Danio rerio: one gene and its partner. The protein of the gene in region 1 purifies or fractionates together with the protein of each later gene. This does not show direct contact. Links are inferred from orthologs where the notes say so. Each region holds a gene or a part of one and is shown in the gene's direction. Other genes may lie near its edges. The genes, in order: lamtor5 and slc38a9.

Region 1 (11,270 bases):
AAGTAACTAATTACAACAACTCAAATGACTGTAATTGAGTAGTTTTTCTCTGGAATTGTAATTTACTAAGTAGTTTTAAAAATGTGTACTTTCACTTTCCCTTAAGTACATTTTTAGTGCTGTATCGGTACTTTTACTACACTACTTTACTTCAACCTGCAGTCACTACTTTATTTTTTCTTGTTAATGGGGATCATAAATCAGTCCTGTGATTCCTGTATAATCAAATCACACATAGAAGGTAAATCACATCATAATGAATTACCTTAAGACATGGGTGATTTATAAATGCAGCAAACTGTTTGGAAGCATTTAAAGTGTTCAAGTAGATGACCAAAATCTTTACATACAATGACCCAGAGATGGATGTTTACTGTATGATGACCGAAATGGCCTTAACCACCCAGCAGGCACAGGACGTCAACATGACATCAGATTGGCGTTGTATTCTAATGTCGTGGGGACGTTACATTTTGTTTGGAAATAAAATCGGGTTGATGTCACAACTCAATGTCAGGCCAACATCAATGTCCAACCAAATATCAACGTCTAATGATGTTAAAGCTTGACGTTGTGTGGACATTACCACTCTATCAGACGTTGGATTTTGGTTGCCATAGCTGATGAATAAATAGCAGTATTAGACGTCAATATGATTCTGGTGTAAGATGGTGGCTCGACGTTGAATTTTGGTCACTTTCTAACAACCTAAAATTGACCAAATATCAACGTCATTATTGGAATCAAAATAACGTCCTTAGACACTGACTGGACGTTGAATTTGGTCACCTGACATCACAACCTAAATCTAACCTAATATTAATGTCTTATGACGTTGTGTGCTTGCTGGGCAATCACTTAATGCACTACAGAATGTTACGTTTACACACATCTACAAATTACATGTAAACGCATCAACCTTTTACAGTGTAAAACTCACTACTCACTACTCTTGAGTACTTTTGAAAGGGCTTTTCACTCATACTTTGAGTAATATTTACAACAGATGCTTTTACTCTACTTGAACTATATTTTTATGCAAGTAATGGTACTTTTACTTGAGTTTGATGATTTTTTAGTACTCTTTCCACCACTGCAAGACAAGTACATATGTGAAGTACTTGAGTAAAGGTACAGATATCTTTAGAAAATATCTCTCAATTAAAAGTATTAAGTACTCCTTTTCGATTTTGCCACAGTTTAGGTACATTTTCAAATCATTCGCATAAACTAGAGACTTGCTCTGACTAAATCATTTGAATCCACAATCATACACTGTTTGGTTGAGACTTTTCAGCAATGACACAAGATTAATATGTTTAAACAAGAAACCAGTTTCAGTCGCAACTAGACCATTTGATTAGAAATCTGATGTAAAGCTGAAGTACGAGGGATGTGCATAAATCCAGAGACTCATTTTTGAATGCATATACTTATGGAAATGGAAATATTAATTTTGTTTTGGAGCATACTAGCTTAAAAATAACATTAACACACTAACAAATTCATAATGAATGGCAAATAAAATAATTTATCACTATATAATTTCTGACCACTGATCAGAAAACAAAAAAATAAACGTGGATGTGGCCCATTTGAACTGCTGACCATTAAAGCTCTGGGATACGTGAGCTACGTGATGAAACACAGCTATACAGAATCAATGAGCTTACTTGAAATTATAGCTAAATAAAATATCCAACTTGAAGGCAATTGGTGTGAGGGATAGCAGACTGGTGAATGTCAGTCCTAGCTGTTGGGATTTGATTTACGTTTAGCGGGAGCATGAAAATGCCATTGGTTAGTCAGCAGAGCATTACTCGGCTGCAGTGAAAGTGATTGATCTCACTGACGCCTGGGCCACATAATTACATTGCAACTTTTTGCCTTGTCAGCAAACCAGCTTGGCTCTAACTGCACAGGACTGGGCAGAAATCATCAAGCCTTGCCATGAGCAAAGAACCTAAGTTGGCTAAAAGAGCTTGAAAGCTGTTAAACGTAACTTCATAACAAATGCAGTACGAAAACTGAGCCAAAAGATGAAAATAATGAAATGAAATCAATCAGAGCATGTCTTTTATGTAAAATGAAATGATGATATATGGCTTTATATTCACTTAATAATTGACTTCATAATTAACATAAAAAATAAAGTATAGAAATAGTATAAACTGCAGTAAACTCCACTATTGGTAGATATAATAGAGTTGTTTGACTGAAACAATGACTCCACATGCAATAAATTTCAAATAAAAGAATAATATATATATTAGCCTTTATATCATAATTATCATTTTATTCAATACTTTATTTATTCAAACACATCTTCAGAACTAAAAGGAAAAAGTTCAATTTGTGCGCATAATACTGGTCTGTCCAACTATCAAGAGCGTAGAATTGGCATGGACAGAGGGGACATTGCCTCACCAATTACTGAAATGTCCCCACCAATAATTTAATAGCCTTCAAAATAAAATAATGCTCTGTCAAGCCTTAGTAACCTAAATGTGCTTAAAGAGTTAAATTCATACAGATAATAGGAATAAAATTGTTACATTTTGTCACATGCCTCTCTAAATTTCTGTACATTCATACCTCCTCAAACCAGATTACAGTAAAATCATGTCAATTGACTTTTGCAGCATAGAATTATTATTATTGTTATTTGTATTATTAGGTGTTTAAATGTTTTTAAAAGCATGAAACAGAATTTGTGCTGTTTAATACATTGGCTCTAGGGATGTACGTCTCCACCAATATCAAGAGCCTATGTGTTACTGTGTGTGTCAGAGAGACACAAAACCTTTTTACAGCTCTATAGATAATATTTGTTCTCATGTAGATGCTTGAAAAAAATGATCCAATATATGTATATACAGTATTTTTAAAAACATTTTCAATTACAGTTTTTCTTGTTTGCTTTGACCTGGTTAAAGAAACTAGGTTCTACTTCATTTTCATTATCATTATCACTATCCCAGCAAGTGCAGAAGACAGGTCTTGCAAATGTTTAAACCCTTTCTCATTGGGTTGACACATTTTCCGCACCATTTTTCAAAAAAGTTAACACGGATGTCATTCAAGCATTCCAAACTCCATTGTTTTAGCTATGGTAACCAAACAGAAACCATCTATTCCTAACCATTAGAAACTACCAAGATCAGTATGAATTCACTGAAAGCACCGGTTTGACACACCTTCACACAAATCTTCATTTAGCAATCAGTCTGCAAACATTAAAAATGGTAGAAGGTCTGTGTTGTTCTGTGCCTGCATGGATGGAGGAGGTCAATAGTGGCTATGTCCTACTCACAATAGATTTGACTGTATATTGGTTTACATGTTTTCTCTAATATTTACAGTATTTTATTACTTTTGTCTGTTTTTTTAACAGTATTTCAGTTTTAAGCCACAGTTTGAAAAAATGTCATGAATTCAACATAAATTTAATAAAGGCATTTCTTATTCTGGATCCAATTCTTTGCAAAAAGGCAGCCCAAATAAAAAGACAACAAATGGCATTGGCAATAGGTTACAATGGCAAGCAATGGTGCACTGATTCACACTGAGGTCTGTATTTTGTATTTTGTTGTTCATTGTGTAATGGTTAATTGAAAGAGCTCATATACTTGTTAGCAAGTTGTGTTGTTTGAAGGTTAAAATAGCTTTTGTTGCATATTTTAAATGTTTTGACACGGCATGTGCATTTTGCAACCAAAATGTGTTATTTTGACCATGAGTGCCGCTGTTTAGGCCTGTGTTTTAACTGTTTTAAAAATGTGGAGTTTCAGTTGACGGCTGCATGAAAGCAATCCAAGGAAAACTGTAAAATAAATTAAGCAAAATATCTTATTAAAAGACTTAAACTGCACAAAAATCAGTAGTCTAAAAATCCATATATATTTAAATGTATATATATACCCACACGCAAAAATAATAATATTGTAATGAAACTATATTTATAAAAATAAATCGATCATCAATAGACAGAAGTTAAGGAATTAAATTAACCCTATAAAAATGATATTCATCAAATATAAGGCTGCATCCAGTCAGGAAAGATTAAACTGTTCTGATGGGCTCTAGAGAGGCAGAAACAGGCAGCTATTATTCTGCCAGCTTATTTGCATGTATATTGACTTTGCTAACCTGATTCATGCTTTGCACTTTGCACAACTTGTGTAATAGTATATTTTATAATATGCTTCGCATATAGTTAAGCAAACATATAGTTAATGGATGTGACAGAGAAAAAATGTGTCTCATGTCAAACCCGGCTCTTAAACCAACCTCACAAACTATAAAAGAGAGTGCTTCAATATCTTGAGTTAAAAATGGAAAAGACTGTCTGATAAAGAGCTTGAGCTCAGACACAATTGACGGTGGTCTTTTATTGTGCGTCTGGTCAGGGGACAAGGTCATTTAGAGAGATACCAACACCGAAGATTCACACGTTCCTCTGGGAGTTCTCATTGACAATGCCAGCTAAATGTTAACCACATGTAGCCTACTTGCTTTTTAGAGCATTGAATGGTTTGTAAAGAATTTATTATTTGTTCAACATAAAAACGAGGATATAGAAGATCTAGACTCTGAATTATAGGTGATCAGTCAATAGCAGTGCTGCAGGAACATTCATTTATTCCAACAGCTGCATATTAATAAATTCAAGCTTTTCATTTTGGTTCAGAAATAGTCACTCTTCTACTTAGCATTTATTTCTCCTGTGGGACTTGTGGTATAATTGGTATTCTTTTGAGAATGTCTTGTGTGTTCATTTTAGTTTAATTAAAATGTTTAACCCAAAAAATTATATTGTATGACTGACTACTTGTCGAGGTTTAGCAGCAAACAAAAGAGGACCATTTACCTACCATCCTGACTTGAGTAAGATGGCGCTAGATCCTATTTGCTTGTTGTCCCTTAGAGGGCGCCGTAGTGTTAAGTCGCGTGTTAAACTGTCAGCTGACATCCCGGAAGTTATCCAAGTAACAAACATCGCTGCCAGTTTCTGAACATTTCGTGTTTCTTATTAGTTTAATAGCCTTATTTAGGACGCTGTTATGGAGGGTGCACTGGAGCAGCATCTTGACGATACGTATGTTTAAAAAGAAACCACTTTCTTTTCTTACGCATGTAACGTTACTCGTTTTGCGTCTTCATTTACTGATCTCCTTTCTCACTCTAGGATGAAAAATCCAGCTATTGTTGGGGTTTTGTGCACAGACGCTCAAGGACATAATCTAGGGTGTAAGTAATTTTTATATTTTCCTTAATACTTCCCTTAGTATAGTTTTCCTCTGGTGACCATGATTTGCTTGGTTTACATGTACTGGGTTTTCACTTGCAACAAGAGGTTAATATTGCTTTTAATATTTACACATGTGTTGAAGGTATGTAAAACGTTTTGAATTTTTATTAGTTTGATTTGTTTCTCAAAACAGGGAACGGGTGTCTACTGTGGACAACTTTATAACTGTGTTATTGACCAACTTAAAGTTAACTGAAACAATGGTAAACAAAAAAACATGGTTAACTGGGAGAAAATACAAGCCTATTCAAATGTAATTATGCAAAAAAAATGTAAAGTAAAATTAAATGATGTATAGATATAGTTTGAGTAGTAAAATCTATAATGGCATGTGTAGTATTAAAAATATTAATCTGATAAATTAATTCAACTTGAGCATTTTAAGCCTGCTTTTTCAGTGTATTACCATGTGCAAAACAATATACAATTTAAAACTTTTCAACAAAATATAGGGTTATAGAATTGTGCTTTATATAGATTCTCAGTTGACTCTTTTCCATTTGGTTTCCAGAACTTGAAAATATACTGTAATTCTCAATGACATTACAAATATTTTAATCTCCAGGCCGGGGCTCACTATCTGATGAACATGGAGGAGTTGTATCTGTACTGGCCAAGCAGGCTGCTTCTCTAACCAAAGATGCCACCGACTGTCCTACAGTGTGCCTGGAGTCTGACTGTGGGTAAGGAAAGCTTCTTGACCAGCATCTGTCTTATTTCTATGTATCTTGAGAATTTTTTGATTTGAGAGACAACAAAACAATCTGCAGAAATCGATGACATTAATTAAGAAAGTTAAATGAGGGAAAGTCAGTTAAACAACAATCTTTGAAAGTCATTCATCCCATTATACCTTCCCTCTTCCACACACACCAGTTGTCACTAAAGTGTATATATAGTGACGTGTAATAAGTATTGAAACTATCAAATTGGCGTGTGACTTTCTCAGAAAGTATTCCATTCATTTTAATTCATCAAGGATTAATATTTTGTGCTGGTCATTTGGTTGCTTTAGAACTGTCTTGGATCAATATCACTCAAAACCACCAATAGATGGCGGCAAGTCTTAATGAGTGATTCATTGAATCATTGATATTTGTAGTATGGATATAATTATAGAGAGGCATATGATTTCTTATGAGTTTTTGGGGGTTTATTATTTTAAAAAAAGCACTATTATCAAGTAAATGTTTTTAAGTAATGGTTAATTTTTTGCCACTATCATTATGGATATTCAATCAAAAGTAATGAAAGCAATGGAACCATTTCAATATAATGCATGGCATATGTATTACTAATTAATAGATGTAATTCATCTTTTTTTAAAGTTAATGCGGATGGGTTTAAACAAAGTAAATCAATTGATTTTAACATTATAATTCCTGTACACAGTAGTTAATAAAGATTGAACATTTAACTAAACGGTTTTAAAAATGTCTGCACAGCCACAAATTTGTTGGCAATATGCTAAAAGAATGTAACTTGCCATTAAACAAGAACAACGAAAAAATAAAAGGCGCTCTTTTTTTTTTTTTTTTTAGCATTAATTTCTCACCCATGACTTGTGGAATTGCTATTCTTTTGAGAATGTCTTGTGTGTTTATGGTTGGCAGATTCTTAAGTTGACTGAACTTGCCACCAGCTGTGATTTTTAGAAACTGATATACCTGGAGTAAGCACCGTCTGACCTGGGATAGGGAAGAGCAGGGCACAAAGTAACACTTTTTGGTTTTGGCCAAATAATGAACAAAGTAATGGGCTTAGACAAACCATTTTTTGTACCAACAACACACAAACTGTCTCCTACAGTTTCTGTGCAGTATTGCCAAAAGTGCCAGGAGCAAAAATGTTACTATTTGCCCCAGCAGTGGGGCACGTTGTAACAAACAGAGGGTAAGTTGTAACGCATGCTTACAAAGGCAGATTCCACACAGTTAATTTAATTTCTGTTTACTTTAAATAGTAGCTATATTTCCTCAGTACTTGGCTCAATTTATTTTGTGTTATACATAGCACAGCATGTTTATTTACTTATTTATCCACTTAATGAACACATTTGGATTTTTTTTTTGCATTATTATAAAATGCGTTTATTTGCATTATTAGCAATAAAACTAATTTTTTCTATTAAAAAATATATATTTTCTATAAAAAAATCATGTTTATTTAAAAAGTTCTCAACATTACATTATCAAAAATAAAAAATAAAAATATTCAGTTAGTTTAATTGGTGTCCAACAGTGTGTGGCTTAATTGTAACACCCTGTTACAACTAACCCTGCTGTGTCGTGTTTTCTTCAAAACTGACTAGCAGTCACTGTCTTTTTACATCTTTCAAAATGGTTTCATCTTTTAGCCTAGAAGATGGTAATCACAGCAATATAAGATTTTTTCGTACATGCTTTCACAGATGTTTTTTTAAGTAAAACAAATTTGCTGTAATAAAAAATACTGCAAACTGCTGGAAAAATGGTTTCTGTGTTTCTCGTCCAATTTTCAACAAACTTTTTCAATAATTGGCAGGAAGATGTCTGCCGACGCTGTGGTGAAAATTTTGGAAGCATGCCATGGTTAACCCTGAGCAAAAACCTTAAAATTGTTACATTTTACCCCACGTTACTTTGTGCCCCGCACTCCCCTTATCTATTTAGAGTTCTGGGTATATGTGATTGTAAGTTAGCCTTGCTTTCTGGAATACCCCTCTGTTTTGCTCTGGCTTTGTATATAACTACTTTTGCTGGTGAAAGGGCAAGAAAAGCAGGCAGTATTATGTTATGTCTGAAATGTAACTTAATTTTAGCTTTGTACACAAAAATCAATATCTATTTGTGATCATGCCTATGCACTGACATTTAGGTAAATGGCACTGTGACTTGTGTGCTATTACCCAAGCAACTCGTTTGTTATAATAAAAAAAAACAGAACAATATTTTTGGCTTTCATAACAGCATATTGAGTCAATCTAAATGCATTCTGACAGGCTTCACTGTGTAGTGAATGCTTTTGGTATCTCAAGATGTGTTTTAATTGTAGTTTTGCTAACCAGGTGATAATCTCAAATCAAACAGCAGCTAATTTTAATCTTAAGTATTAAATGGGAATTCTATGTCATTCTGTCATTGCAGGAACATCTTGGTGAGAAGACATGGAACAATTACACTGGCTGTGCATAAGATGGCATCGTGAAATCTGTTGGTCTAAGTTTTTTCAATTTTAAAGATCATTAGTATGCGTTTGATAAGCTTCTGCTGTCAATTGTCGAAACATAGAAGCTCTATGGGTGTGTGAAATCTTGTCTTCCATCATATCAGAAATCGTCAGATGTTTGTTGTCAGTGTTTAATCTAATTTATTTTCCTATATTATTACTTTCTTTCAACCATAAAGCACACTTTAAATGTCTTCACTGCTTTTTTGTTCAAACAGTGAATAAATGCATTAAGGAAATTCACGTGGTTGAGTCTCTGTGGTTGCACAGTTAAGAGAGTTTTAGTTGAAGTAACACAGTGTGTTCAAAAGGGGGCAGCAATTGTAATTGAATCACCTTTAAGAGTATCTATGGTGAGTAACAGTTTATATACATGAATAACAATTAAAAATCAAATGTCGAGACAGATCAACCCTTCAAATTAATTATCATCATCATCTTGGTCAGTAACTACCAATAATAAAAGCTGTGTAATGTAAACTAGTAAAGCAATTTTTTTTAATGAATAACAAATTCAAATTATATTATATTTATATTGTATTATATTTTAGATTGCATTGGTTTGTTGTGTGCAAATAGATGCAGGCAATTATTTTTGTGTGTGTCACTTGTTTGCCTTGGATAACTCGTTCTGCAATAAAGCATATGAGGAAAATTTGAGGGAACTCGGGGTTCCTGAATTTTTTATCAGTCACTCAGACCTGTCATAAAGTGTTCTTCTGAATGCATGTGATGACTCTGGATAACAGTTAACAGCAAAATACCTTAGCTCAGATCTTGACTGTAAAAGGTTCATCATTTTCACTCTAGGGTCAATATAGTTAATCAACCAAGTCTTAATTTTTCCAAAAATTACACCAAGTACGCAGCATGAATGCCAAAAGAAGAAATTGTTTCCCCCTCAATTATTTTGATATATTGTATCTTGAATGCATTGAAATGTTTTGTATGATCTGAATGTGTAAAAATAAAGTACCAAAATAGTACTGAGAGCATGGGGATGCAACATAATCACCATTGTAGTAAATGTTTAACTTGATATTTTTGCATATTGAAATGCCATTAACAAATGTTCAAGCTTACAAAATTTATGAATAGCAGCTCTAAACAGTCGATTAGTTTTTTCCTCAAGCAAAACGAGTGCAGTTTGTGTGCACTTTAATTAAAACACACGTTTTTATTAGTGCCTTTAGGGATTTGTCAAACATTAGAGATACTACCTGAATACCTAAACATTCATAATTTGACCTTGAAGCAACAAAGCTTGGTGCTTTTTACCTCTTTCGAATAGCCACAGTCCAGGAAAACCTCTGAAATTAGTTCCACTTCAATACTTGGCTTGTAGGTTCCGGTCACATGGTCAATAAGTGCACTAGCGGCAGGTCGTTGGCTCTGCACAACCTGAGCGCATTGCATCCAATCTGTGCCGGTCCCAGGGGTCTGAAGTGACCCCCCCGAGACACTCAGACTGGGGGCCAAATTTTCAGAAAACATAAGAAATCAAACGCAGGGAGTCCAGCCATGTTCACGAATGACTTTGATAAGACTTGCCGCCTCAGAGGAGGAGCTGTCATCGGGAAATCCAAGGATGTTGCCCGCAGCTCAAGTGCCGGAGCGCGCATGAGGAATCATCCACACCAAATCAAGTCTTAACAAGTGAAATCTGGAATAAACTGACTTGACTTTTAGTGTTTCGAGAAATATGGTAAGTCTCGTCTCCACCCTAATGTTTACGTTTATGAAATGTTCGAATATTTACATAATTAATTTGCTCGTTTGCAGACAATTTTGCGTTGTAGTATTAATTTTGTAGCTTATATTATTTTTTCCAGACTAAGCTTGTCATTTCTTTCACAAACTACTGTTTTTTTTTTTGTTGGATGTTAATTTTAAAAGCTGATTTAAAAAATAATTGTTGGAAAATGGATGACAAAAACAAAGTTTAAACTTTTAAAAGCTTGAAGTTGAAGTTAAATAAAATAAATATATCGATTAATCACTGCTTTCTCAAGATAACAGTTCTTTGAAACTTTTGTGTGAATTAAATTTGTATTCTGCTTATTTACTAGCCTGTCAGATGTGTTTACTTTTAAAACTAGTTTAATAGCTGAATCACAGTAAGCTTGAAAAGTGTGTTGTTTGTAATGCTTTTTAATAGTTTAGTTTAATTCAATGACATGCAACAACGTGTAGGCTAGATGGAAGCTTTTAAATACGATTAAAGTTTTCTTTATGTTTCACCCAAACAGAACTTAACAGAAAAATAAAACCGGTTACACTTCAAAACACGAATCAGGTAATACAAGAGCTTTAATTGACGGTGTTTTTCTGTCGACTGTTATTGATAGGTGTAAAGTGCTGCATTCCAGTAGCGCGCATTCACATGAACGCCGCTGGGGTCGCGAGATCCACACACGAGCGCTATGCGGCTGCTGGGCTGACAGCGCGCGACAGCATCGGCTCTGGCGTTTGGGTAAGTGCATAAGTGCAGCACCCTAGTAATTTTCCCCACTTTTTTGTGTCGTGATATTGGATTACGAACTAAGCCTGAGTTTTAGACGTTTAACGACACAACCGCACGGCTAATTGTCGCGTGTTTAGGTTGGTTGAGTTGAGGATGGGGAGGAAAGAGCACGTTGTGGGATGTCCTGAACGGTGCGTTCCCAATTTCAACACCGCAAACCCACACAAACGCCGGTGCAGATAAAAGTTTTTAGAGTAATGGAGTCTTTTATTTGTGACAGACAGTGGC
Region 2 (10,805 bases), on another chromosome or scaffold:
CAGTCTGTCTGATGTAATCAGTCATTTTGTATTTTCCCTATTTTGTAAAGTTACAGGATACTACTGTGGATTTTCTTTTTTTTTTTTGAGGTAAATACAAACGCAAACATTATTTTTGTTGCAATGTCTGCATGCTCTGAATTGTGATCCCCTGAAAATGTAAAAACAGTCCACATTTTGGTGAAAACCACGGTACTTTCTTTGTTGCAAGTGTGTTTTTTTAAAGTGAACAGCTTTTGTCTGAAATATAGATTTATATTAGCTTAAAAATGTCTTTACTGTCAGTTTGACCTTTTAGTGCATTCTAACACTTTGCAATACTGTTCTATTATGTACTGTATTTATTAACATGAACATTACATTTAATATAGTTTTTATTCATCCTTAATAAATATGTAGTTTTCACTCTTGTTAATAATAAGAAATCGGTCTTGCCATATTAGAAGGTTTTCTGAAGGATCAAAAATGTGTGCTTCATCGTATCCCACTGTACACCCTCAGCTTTTTATTGTCATCGTCACTGGTTTCCTTCCAGGAATAATTAGCATCACTGACAGGATTGAATGAGGTCTGTCTGGTATTTCACATTTACTGTCTAAAATGTGCCGTCATGTGTGGTGTGCTTCAAAACAAAAACACAAGCAGTGCTGCTTAAAGCCATATTTATGGATTATACACCATTACCGTTATGTGCACAAATACACTAATGCATTTCTGCAGAGTTCAGCTCCAGCCTTGTCTGAAATTAGCAAGTGTTTCTGAAGGTGTTAAAGAGACAGTTCACCCAAAAATTTAAATTTTGTCATCATTTACCCCCCCCCACTCCACTTGCTCCTGTTTGGAAGTAATTTTCAAGATGTCGGAAACATTAGTAATCATTGAATGCTATAGTTTTTATTCCAAATGATGGATGTTAAATGTATCCAGGTTCCAACATTCTTCAAAAATTCTTCATCTGGGTTTAACAGAAAAATAAAGAAAATGTATTCAATGCCACCCTAAAGATGCATAAGGCCAGTTTATGTGTCTTTTGTCAGTTTAACATGCATTTTGTTAAAATTTTCCTTGTAAATTTACATTTTTTTTTAACGAACTGTCCCTTTAGTTGGGTTGGAGTTTAACTTATAATTGAATTTGGGACCTCTGCACTCTGCAAAAGGGTTTTTCAGCCTTGTACTGACCTGAAGCCACCAAATTCGATGTGGAGAACTACAGAGTAATGTTTATGAGTAGGGCTGGGCGAATTTACCCACTACATATCAGATCTCACAATGTTATTCATGTTTCTGTCTGCATCCCTTTAATGTTGTGTGATATTGCATTCATGTAAATTATGAAAAAGTATTACTGTAAACAAGTATTTTGAGACACCACAATATAGAGGGTAGGGCATAATATGAAAAGACAGACTTTTTATTTTGTCTATGCAATGTATATTGTCATATTGCATAGCCCTATTGATGGGTGCTGACTTATGTGTCTTTCAGGCCGTTCCATGTGGAGCCCAGAAATATAGTAGGGGAAGATGTTCAGGAGAGAGTGTCAGCTGAAGCTGCGGTGCTAAGCAGCAGAGTTCATTACTACAGCCGTCTGACAGGCTCTTCAGACAGACTACTGGTGGGTCTGCTGTCTGCATTACTATCCAATACAGATGCCAATACTTGTTTTAAATCTGCAGTACTGTACTGTGTGAAGACAAATGAACATGGAAACTTGAGTGAGTGGATTATTAAGGCTGTTGTTGGTTGTAGATGAGTGCAGTCATTAAACGTGTCAAGTTTTAATAGTATATTAGGAGTTTTTACACTTTAAATAATTAACCCAGGGTCAAACCTTATTCTCGATAAAATGACTCCTGATTTATAATGTACTATATACATTTAATCCTGTTTATTCATTTGCAGAGGTTTCACACTACACAATCCTAAACCCTGGGTTAATTGAGGCTGCATTGATTTAAAACTAGCCTAGAGCGCCGTCGACTGTTAAAAACTAGCCTAGAGCGCATCTCCTGTTTAAAATAGCCTAGAGCGTATCTGCTGTTTAAAATAGCCTAGAGCGGCATCTGCTGTTTAAAAACTAGCCTAGAGCGCCGTCGACTGTTAAAATCTAGCCTAGAGGGCATCTCCTGTTTAAAATAGCCTAGAGCGCATCTCCTGTTTAAAATAGCCTAGAGCGTATCTGCTGTTTAAAATAGCCTAGAGCGGCATCTGCTGTTTAAAAACTAGCCTAGAGCGCCGTCGACTGTTAAAATCTAGCCTAGAGGGCATCTCCTGTTTAAAATAGCCTAGAGCGCATCTCCTGTTTAAAATAGCCTAGAGCGTATCTGCTGTTTAAAAACTAGCCTAGAGCGCCATCTGCTGTTTAAAAACTAGCCTAGAGCGCCATCTGCTGTTTTAAAACTAGCCTAGAGTGCATCTCCTGTTTAAAATAGCCTAGAGCGTATCTGCTGTTTAAAAACTAGCCTAGAGCGCCATCTGCTGTTTAAAAACTAGCCTAGAGCGCCATCTGCTGTTAAAAACTTGCCTAGAGCGCATCTGCTGTTAAAAACTAGTCTAGAGCGTCGTCTGCTGTTTAAAACTAGCCTAGAGCGTATCTGTTTAAAAGCTAGCCTAGAGCGCCATCTGCTGTTAAAAACTAGTCTAGAGAGTCTTCTGCTGTTTAAAACTAGCCTAGAGCACCGTCTGCAGTTAAAAACAATTCTAGAGCACCATCAGCTGTTAAAAAACTAGCCTAGAGCTTCATCTGCTGTCAAAAACTAGCTTAGAGTGGCGTCTGCTGTTAAAAATGAACCTAGAGTGCCATCTGCTGTTAAACTAGCTTAAGAGTGCCATCTGCTGTTAAAATATTCCTAGAGCGTCATCTGCTGTTAAAGACAATCCTAGAGTGCTGTCTACTGTTTAAAACGAATCTAGAGCCCCATCTGCTGTAAAAAAACAAGCCTAGAGCCCATCTGCTGTTAAAAACAGTCCTAGAGCATCATCTGCTATTAAAAACAAACCTAGAGCTCCATCTACTTTTAAAAACTAGCCTAGAGCACTGTCGTCTGTTCAAAAACTAGCCTAGTGCGCCATCTGCTTTTAAAACCAGCATAGAGTACCATCTGTTGTTTAAAAACTAGTCTAGAGGTCCATATTGTTGTTGTTGTTGTTGTTGTTGAAAAGTAGCCTATTGATATGAGACACAAGTAAGAAAAGTGATGGATTTTTGAAAATCTCAGAATCAATGCTATTTTTTCCCCAATCCTCAGGCATACACAGATTTGTAGACTTCCTTTACTTCATATTGACAGCTATTAGCCTAGTGTGCAAAATACACTTTTTTTTTTTCGTTTTATGAGTGTATGACGACAGGGTCACTTTGACAATTTTTTATTCTTTTTTTCCCATGAAACATTTTTCAGTTTTTAGTGTATTTGTTGATTTTTAAACACTCTTTCCAAACATACAGAACTATGTATTTTATTTGAAGCATGAACTACAGGTTCTAAGTACAGGTGGAATGACACGAGAGTGAGCAAACGATTACACACACAAAATAATGAGGAACACAAGGATATGATTCATTTGTTAGTTGTTTTGATTATTCATATGGCAATTATTCTGAAGCCAAAATTAGCTGATTGTGAGATCATTCTGCTGTTTGAGGGCTGAAAGTCGAGGATGAAAATCTCTTATAATGCCATTTAACAGTGATTTCTACTGTTTGTATCTGTGTGTAATTAAGTTAGTCCATGGCTTTGATTCCTTTTTTCTTCTGCACTGTTTGGTTTGTGGAGGATGCGCTTTTAAATGCAGATTAACATGGTCTTCAAGCATAAATTCTGCTTTTTGTCAATCATTCAGCACAATGCATTATTTGTTTAGGGACTTGTGAAGTTTATGATCTAGTCCAATAGAGTATTATAGGCTCTGTGATGTAACGGATTTGCTTATGCACCTTATCTCTGCAGGCACCTCCAGACCACGTGATTCCTTCTCATGAGGATATCTATATCTACAGTCCGCTGGGAACAGCGTTCAAAGTGCAGGGAGGAGACAGCCCTATCAAAAACCCCAGCATTGTCACAATGTAAGACCACCCTCAGAGCAGTTTTAGACTGAAATGCAAAATTAAAGCTTTCTAGTCTGCATGTGTGAAAATATAGTCAGTATGAAAAGTTTGTAGATTGATGTGATGATGTTCCCAACACGATCTTATGGCAACTTGTAACCATTTTGCTGCAATTTGTAAAATGTCATTCATGTTTATTTGACTTGCTTAGAAGAAATAAGTCAAGCTTTAATAATGGGCGTATTATCTTCCTATTATTTTAATATTGGCTGTTTATTTGTAGTTGTAAAACATATTCTGCATAATATTATTCCTACCCAATACTTAAACCCAATACCTGTTAATAAGCAGCAGATTAGGAGTTTCAGGCAAAAACTGTTAATGCTTTGGTAACAGTGAGAATTTAACCTTTAAAATAAAGTATGACTTAATTTATATACATACATACACACACACACACACACACACACACACACACGCACACACACACACGTTATATGGGCCATTTATATGGATAAAGAAAATTAATAAAAAGTTTTTTTCCTATTGAAAAAACAAAAATTGGATCCAAGATGGCCGACTTCAAAATGGTCACCATGGTCACCATCCATCATGAAAAGTTTGCCCCCTCACATGTACTAATGTGCCACAAACAGGATGTTAATAACAGCAATCATTCCCAGTTTATGTTATTCCTTATTTATATGTGTATCCATATAAATGGCCCACCCTGTATGTATGCGTGTGTGTGTGTGTGTGTGTGTGTGTGTGTGTGTGTGTGTGTGTGTGTGTGTGTGTGTGTGTGTGTGTGTGTGTGTGTGTGTGTGTGTATGTGTATATATTTATATAATTATTTTTTAATCGTTTAACTGATTTCATTTATGGATTCAAAAGGCACCTTTTTGTTTAATGATGAATCTGTTATTATGAGCATCCCTGGGCCACTGCCTCGCCTATATATATATATAATTTTTTTTTCTTCAAAGTGTTACATAATTTTAAATCCTACAAATTATTTAGTCAAGAGAGATTGCATTTGTCATTTCCATGTTAAAGTTATTAAACCTTTGTTTAAATGAGTGCTTGTGTGTGTATACAGCTTTGCCATATGGAACACCATGATGGGAACATCTATATTAAGTATACCATGGGGAATAAAACAAGTAGGTGTATATTTCTCTCCTATATTTCCTTTGGTCATTGCCAGTTATACAATAAAGGTAATTTATTATAATTTATTTGTTCTCTTTCTAGGCTGGTTTTACATTGGGCATTATCATTATTGTTCTTATGGGCCTGTTGACGCTCTATTGCTGCTACAGAGTGTTGAAGTCCACAAAATCAATTCGTAAGCCAATTGCAACCATGCTTGTACATTTTTCGCACAATACATGAGTGATTCAGTGTAGCTCTTAAACACGTTCATTTATAATGTTAACATTCCCAGTTTAGCTGATATTTATTTATTTTTATTTTTTGTTTTGTTTTTTTTGACGGAGATAGTATTGTTTTGTTAGATGAACAGTGTGACCCAGGTTCAAATCCAGTGTTTCTTCTTACTTTTTTTTTTTAAGTCAAACAAATGTCATTTACACATTTCTGTCGTCTTTAGTAAGACCAGCTTATGAGTCGTGAGGGATAAGTCTATATGCCTGCAAGTTCCATCATGGACACAGAACCACATTTAATATTTTTTGTCACAAAGTACAGTGAAAAGCAGCCCATACAGTCACATCTTTTATACGTGTTAAGGAGGAGTGTAAATATTACAGTTATGACAGAGTTAAATGTGTTTAGATGAAGAAAAAAACTTCGAAAAATCACTTGATCACGTTAAAATGACAGGTAATATGTGTGTATGTTTACTAATTTATTCACACATTTGCATTAATCAGAGCAGAAAAGAGACAAGCTGCCCTGTAAGCAGTATCTTAATAAAATTGTTTAATTAAAATAAATGATCAACAAATGAATCTGACGTGACGGTCTCTACAAGTGAATTCCCAATAAGAAAAATACTACAAACTATTCATTAAAGAAACAAAACAAATGCAATTGTCTAATGCAAGCGGGCTGCGTTTCAGACCAGTTCAGCTCAATAGTGTATAATGTCTCCAACATCTCCTGAAGTCCCATTTCACAACTTGATAACAACCGTCTTTTTAAAGAAGCGTCCCGATTTAAAAATAAATAAATAAATAAATCAAGACTGTGATGCAACTGATGTGTTATGTCGTAGAATAAAATGTGAAAGTATCTTAAGTTTGTGTTAGCCACCAACCTCATTTAAGAGATTTTTAATCAAAATCCCATTGAAAAAAAAAAACATCGACTTTGGGACGAGGCAACCAGAACTGCTAGAATGCTAACTCGCTTCCGGATTTTTGCCTACAAATTGACGTCATAGTTCCTCCACTCTATTGTGGTTGTGTATTACTCTTGAGGGGTTTGTTTACCTCTGCAATCCTTTCTACTTTATCTGATTTGATAAGGACATTTCTAAGGCCTCTGAATAATCAACATGATCAAAGGAAAGAAACCGGTTTTAAACCTGTTTAAAGTTTTTTCTATGAAGCTTATGCTTAAAAATAAATGTTAACAGAGTCATCATAATCAATTTTACCAATTCTACTAATGTATCTATAAAGACACAACAAACAATGTCTCTCTCTCTCTCTCTCTCTCTCTATTTTTTTTGTTTTACTTTAACTGTACACACACATTAACATACTGTTAAAACAGATTTATAAGCCTCCCCCCTGTTTATTTTATCCTCAATTTCTGTTTAACGAAGAGATTCCTTCAGCACTTTTCTACACATAATAGTTTTAATAACTCATTTCTTATAACTGATTTATTTTATCTTTGCCATGATGACAGTAAATAATATTTGACTAGATATTTTTCAAGACACTTCTATACAGCTTAAAGTGACATTTAAAGGCTTAACTAGGTTAATTAGGTTAACTAGACAGGTTAGGGTAATTAAGCAAGTTATTTTATAATGATGGTTTGTTCTGTTGACTATCGAAAAAATATATTGCTTAATGGGGCTAATAATATTGACTTTACAATTGTTTTTAAAAAATTTACAGCTGCTTTTATTCTAGCCAAAATAAACCAAATAATACTTTTTTTAGAAGAAAAAAATATTATCAGAAAAATTGTGAAAATGTCTTTGCTCTGTTAAACATAATTTGGGAAATATTTAAAAAAGCAAAAAAATAAAATAAAAAATTCAAAGGGGGCTTATAATTCTGACTTTAACTGTATGTCATTTTTGCTTGTCTTTTTTTCATATGTCATGCCAGAGTTAACATGAAGTTTTTTTTAAATATGAAACTCTGTGTCTTTGCAGCTTATGTAGATACCTCAGACTGGGAGTTTCCTGATGTGTGTAAATATTACTTTGGGGGTTTCGGAAAATGGTCCAGTCTCGTCTTCTCGTTGGTGTCACTGATTGGTGCAATGGTGGTCTACTGGGTGCTCATGTCTAACTTCCTGTTCAATACGGGAAAATTCATTTTCAGTACGTGACTGTTTTTCCTGCCCTTTCTCATTTGTTTTACTGCCAATTAGAATTCTAATATTGTTTTTCTGAATAACCTTTTAATTGTTTTTCTGAATAACCTTTTATATATTTTGCATTTACAGACTATGTTCACAATGTCAACACATCAGATGCATTTGGCACAAATGGAACTGAGAGAGGTGAGCAGTCATTATTATTATTATCATTATTAGTATAAAATAGTCTGAAGTTGTAAGCATAATCATTTACATTACATGGTCAAAGATACTCAACACAATCCAAATGGCTTGATTTATTAATTGCTCTGACTTGAGGCTGATTTATACTTCTGCATCAAGAGCACGTGTATGCTACGGCGTTAATGCATAGCCCTACGCCGTGGCCGTTGGCGTCGCTGACGTGCACCTTTCAAAAAGTGTAATTACACATCGCAACGAGGCGTAGTGTAAGCTCTGTGATTGGTCGGCTTGGTAGCGCTGATGAGTCTGGGCGGGACCGAGAGTCGCGCGAATGGCGCGACCCTGATGGAGAAATTGTTTACAAGTGTGGAGTTCCGTGAAGGAGCTCCGGATGGAAAGTTTTGTTTTGTGTTTATATCATAGTTAAAGTTGTTGCACGTCCGCCGCTTCCTGCCTCAAAATGAGCGAGTTTGAGCCACTTGTGCATCCAGGAAGTGTTCAAGAAAAGCAAAACATCAGAGAAGAAACTCGACACAGAGGAACATTTACACCTCACTGCCAACTAGTGTTTCGGAAGTGTTAATGTAGACCAACAGAGACAGCGCGCAGAAGTATAAACGCTCAGCTACGCGCGTTGTATGCGCCGTGGGTCACGCCGGTCACTTGACGCAGAAGTATAAACCAGGCTTTATGCTGTAAAACGAAAAGACAGAAACAAATATTAATAGTATACAGTGTATCTCAATTAAAGAAAAATATGACAGAATATTTCATAAATTATACAAATTATAGCCAAAAGAACCATTGGTGAAATCATGGGAGTTGCCATCTTTATTAAGTCCATTTGAAGTCCTGCAGAAGTCGTGTTCATGGATATGCTGAAGTATTGAAAACTTACTGTATCTTTCAGACTGTCATGGTAGTATAAAGTAGATGATAAATTAAATTGAAACAAGAGTGCTGAAGGAATTGGAGCTAACAGATGAGCGTGACGCAGAACGAAAGCAGTGAAGCTTTTATTATGACACTATTTACTGTTTTCAGTTCTTCTGTTCATGATCACGTGGACAAGAAGCTGCACTGTTTTATTATACTAAATACATTTTAGGGTTCTGTTATAAAGCTGCTGTGCACGGTCAAATAAAAAACAAAACTTATTAAAGCAATTTGGTGATTTCCTGTTATCTATGAAAGAACTGAAAATTAGAGTGGCACCAATTAAACTCTTTAGGGTTAAATAATCAAAATGCAAAAAAATGCTTTTCTTTGCATCGTCTCGTTTCTAGTCTAAATAGCTCAAATTCTTGAATCAAGTAAAAATATTAGTTTGTTTTCACTTTCAGAAGAAATAAGTCAAAATTAAGAGTTTTTATTCCCTTAAAATAAGCTAAATGAGATCATTTAGCTTATTTTAAGGAATGGGGCAAGTAAAATATTTTGTTCTCATTTTGAAATGTAAATATTTGGACTGGGAACAAGACTAAAATATGAATTTTTTTCTTAATAAATTTGATAAATTCTGTTTAAATAATAAAATGCTATTAATCTTAGTTTTATCACATTATAGTTTTTTGTGCTCAAATGTTTTATACTCTGTTGAAATGCTCAGTCACAGGCCTTAAAAACACATGCACATACGATTAAACATAGCAGGGACTCAACGAAATTCTGAGGGTAAGTATAGATACCGTCAACGCCTGTAATGTAATTTACAATAAAATGTCAGACTTTCAGACATCTTTGCTTAGGGAAAAAATAAAGTATTATTTTTCTTAACACCAAAATGTAATTTTTTGTTTAAATGCCCCTGTGGCTTTGCACATACAACATAGGTAAAACAAAGCATTGTCTAAAAACTTGTATTGCAGAACACCCAAATAACACTGCTCAATTGCCAAAGAAATCCCATTGCTGCTTCCTTCAATGCTGTTAAACATAATATATTGACTCCGCATTATATTGGTATTGAGTGTGTTAAAGCACAAGACTAGAACTAGAAGAGGTGTTGATATTGATACTTCGATTTCAAAGGGAAGCGTTTTACATTTATACTTTACTGTCATCAAAAGGTTTAAATTAGAAATTAGATTTGAAATTTTTATATTTATTATATATTTATATATTATGTTTTATTTAGCATTTTATTGGTTGATTAATTGATTAGGTTAATTAATGGTTTCAGGTGTGATGTTGGTGAAATGATGAAACTGGAGTAGCGTAGCATCCATTAGATGCATACTTCAGAATCTAACCGGAAGTAGTAGGTCATCCGGGTACTTCTCACAAACAGTTTTTTTGAAAACTATATATTTCGACATACTACTCAGCTTGCATATTCTTTTAATGTGCATAGTTTTTAATGTATTTTAATATGGAAGTATGCGATTTCAGACACACTCAGGGCTATTCAATTGGTTTTTCATGGGCGCCGGTTCATGAAAAGCATCCCAAACGAAGGGCCGGAGAGATATGACTTGCTATATGAGTGATAACACAACAGCATATAAGAGCCCATATGCTGTATTTTTCCTTAAGACACCCATATTGTATTTTTCTACATTGAAACGTTAATATGTTGTATGTTGTATTTTGAAACTACATAATATCAGTGCATTGTACAATAGACTTTTTTTTTTCCTTTTTTTTTTTTTTTTTTTTACAAACATTCTAATGTTGTATTTCAGAGCACAACTAAATCAGCGCATCATAGGCTTCTTCTACATTCAGACACATTCATATTTTATTTTTTTGAACTGCATAACAATTAGGGATGCAACAATTATAGATTTGGTTGTACAATTATATATTCTGAAGAATAATTATGGTTTCATGGTTATCACGTATAATGTAAATTCAAGTTTTATATTGGGTAAGTAGCTATTTAGATTAACTGTTGTTGCCATCTGCGTTCATGCATATCATTTTAATAATAATTCGTCAAATATATCTTTTGTTTACATTGCACTGAAAGGCACGCACAACTCTCACCATGAGATGTTTTCTACTGCGTGCACCCGGAAAGATGCAAGCGCATTGCTCTG

What was found.
Region 2: the proteins of lamtor5 (region 1) and slc38a9 purify together in Homo sapiens (co-immunoprecipitation; 5 studies listed by BioGRID and IntAct, with this or other methods). This does not show direct contact. The link is inferred for Danio rerio from reciprocal best matches to the Homo sapiens genes LAMTOR5 and SLC38A9.

What each region holds. Positions count from the first base shown.
Region 1 is NC_133183.1:26,631,434-26,642,703, forward strand, and holds lamtor5 (ragulator complex protein LAMTOR5), read left to right. Parts: upstream 1-4,937; 5' UTR 4,938-5,063; coding exon 5,064-5,098; intron 5,099-5,188; coding exon 5,189-5,250; intron 5,251-5,876; coding exon 5,877-5,994; intron 5,995-8,436; coding exon 8,437-8,497; 3' UTR 8,498-9,017; downstream 9,018-11,270. UniProt on the Homo sapiens protein: As part of the Ragulator complex it is involved in amino acid sensing and activation of mTORC1, a signaling complex promoting cell growth in response to growth factors, energy levels, and amino acids.
Region 2 is NC_133185.1:7,420,932-7,431,736, forward strand, and holds part of slc38a9 (neutral amino acid transporter 9), read left to right. Parts: intron 1-1,487; coding exon 1,488-1,617; intron 1,618-3,952; coding exon 3,953-4,071; intron 4,072-5,152; coding exon 5,153-5,216; intron 5,217-5,307; coding exon 5,308-5,401; intron 5,402-7,411; coding exon 7,412-7,582; intron 7,583-7,707; coding exon 7,708-7,764; intron 7,765-10,805.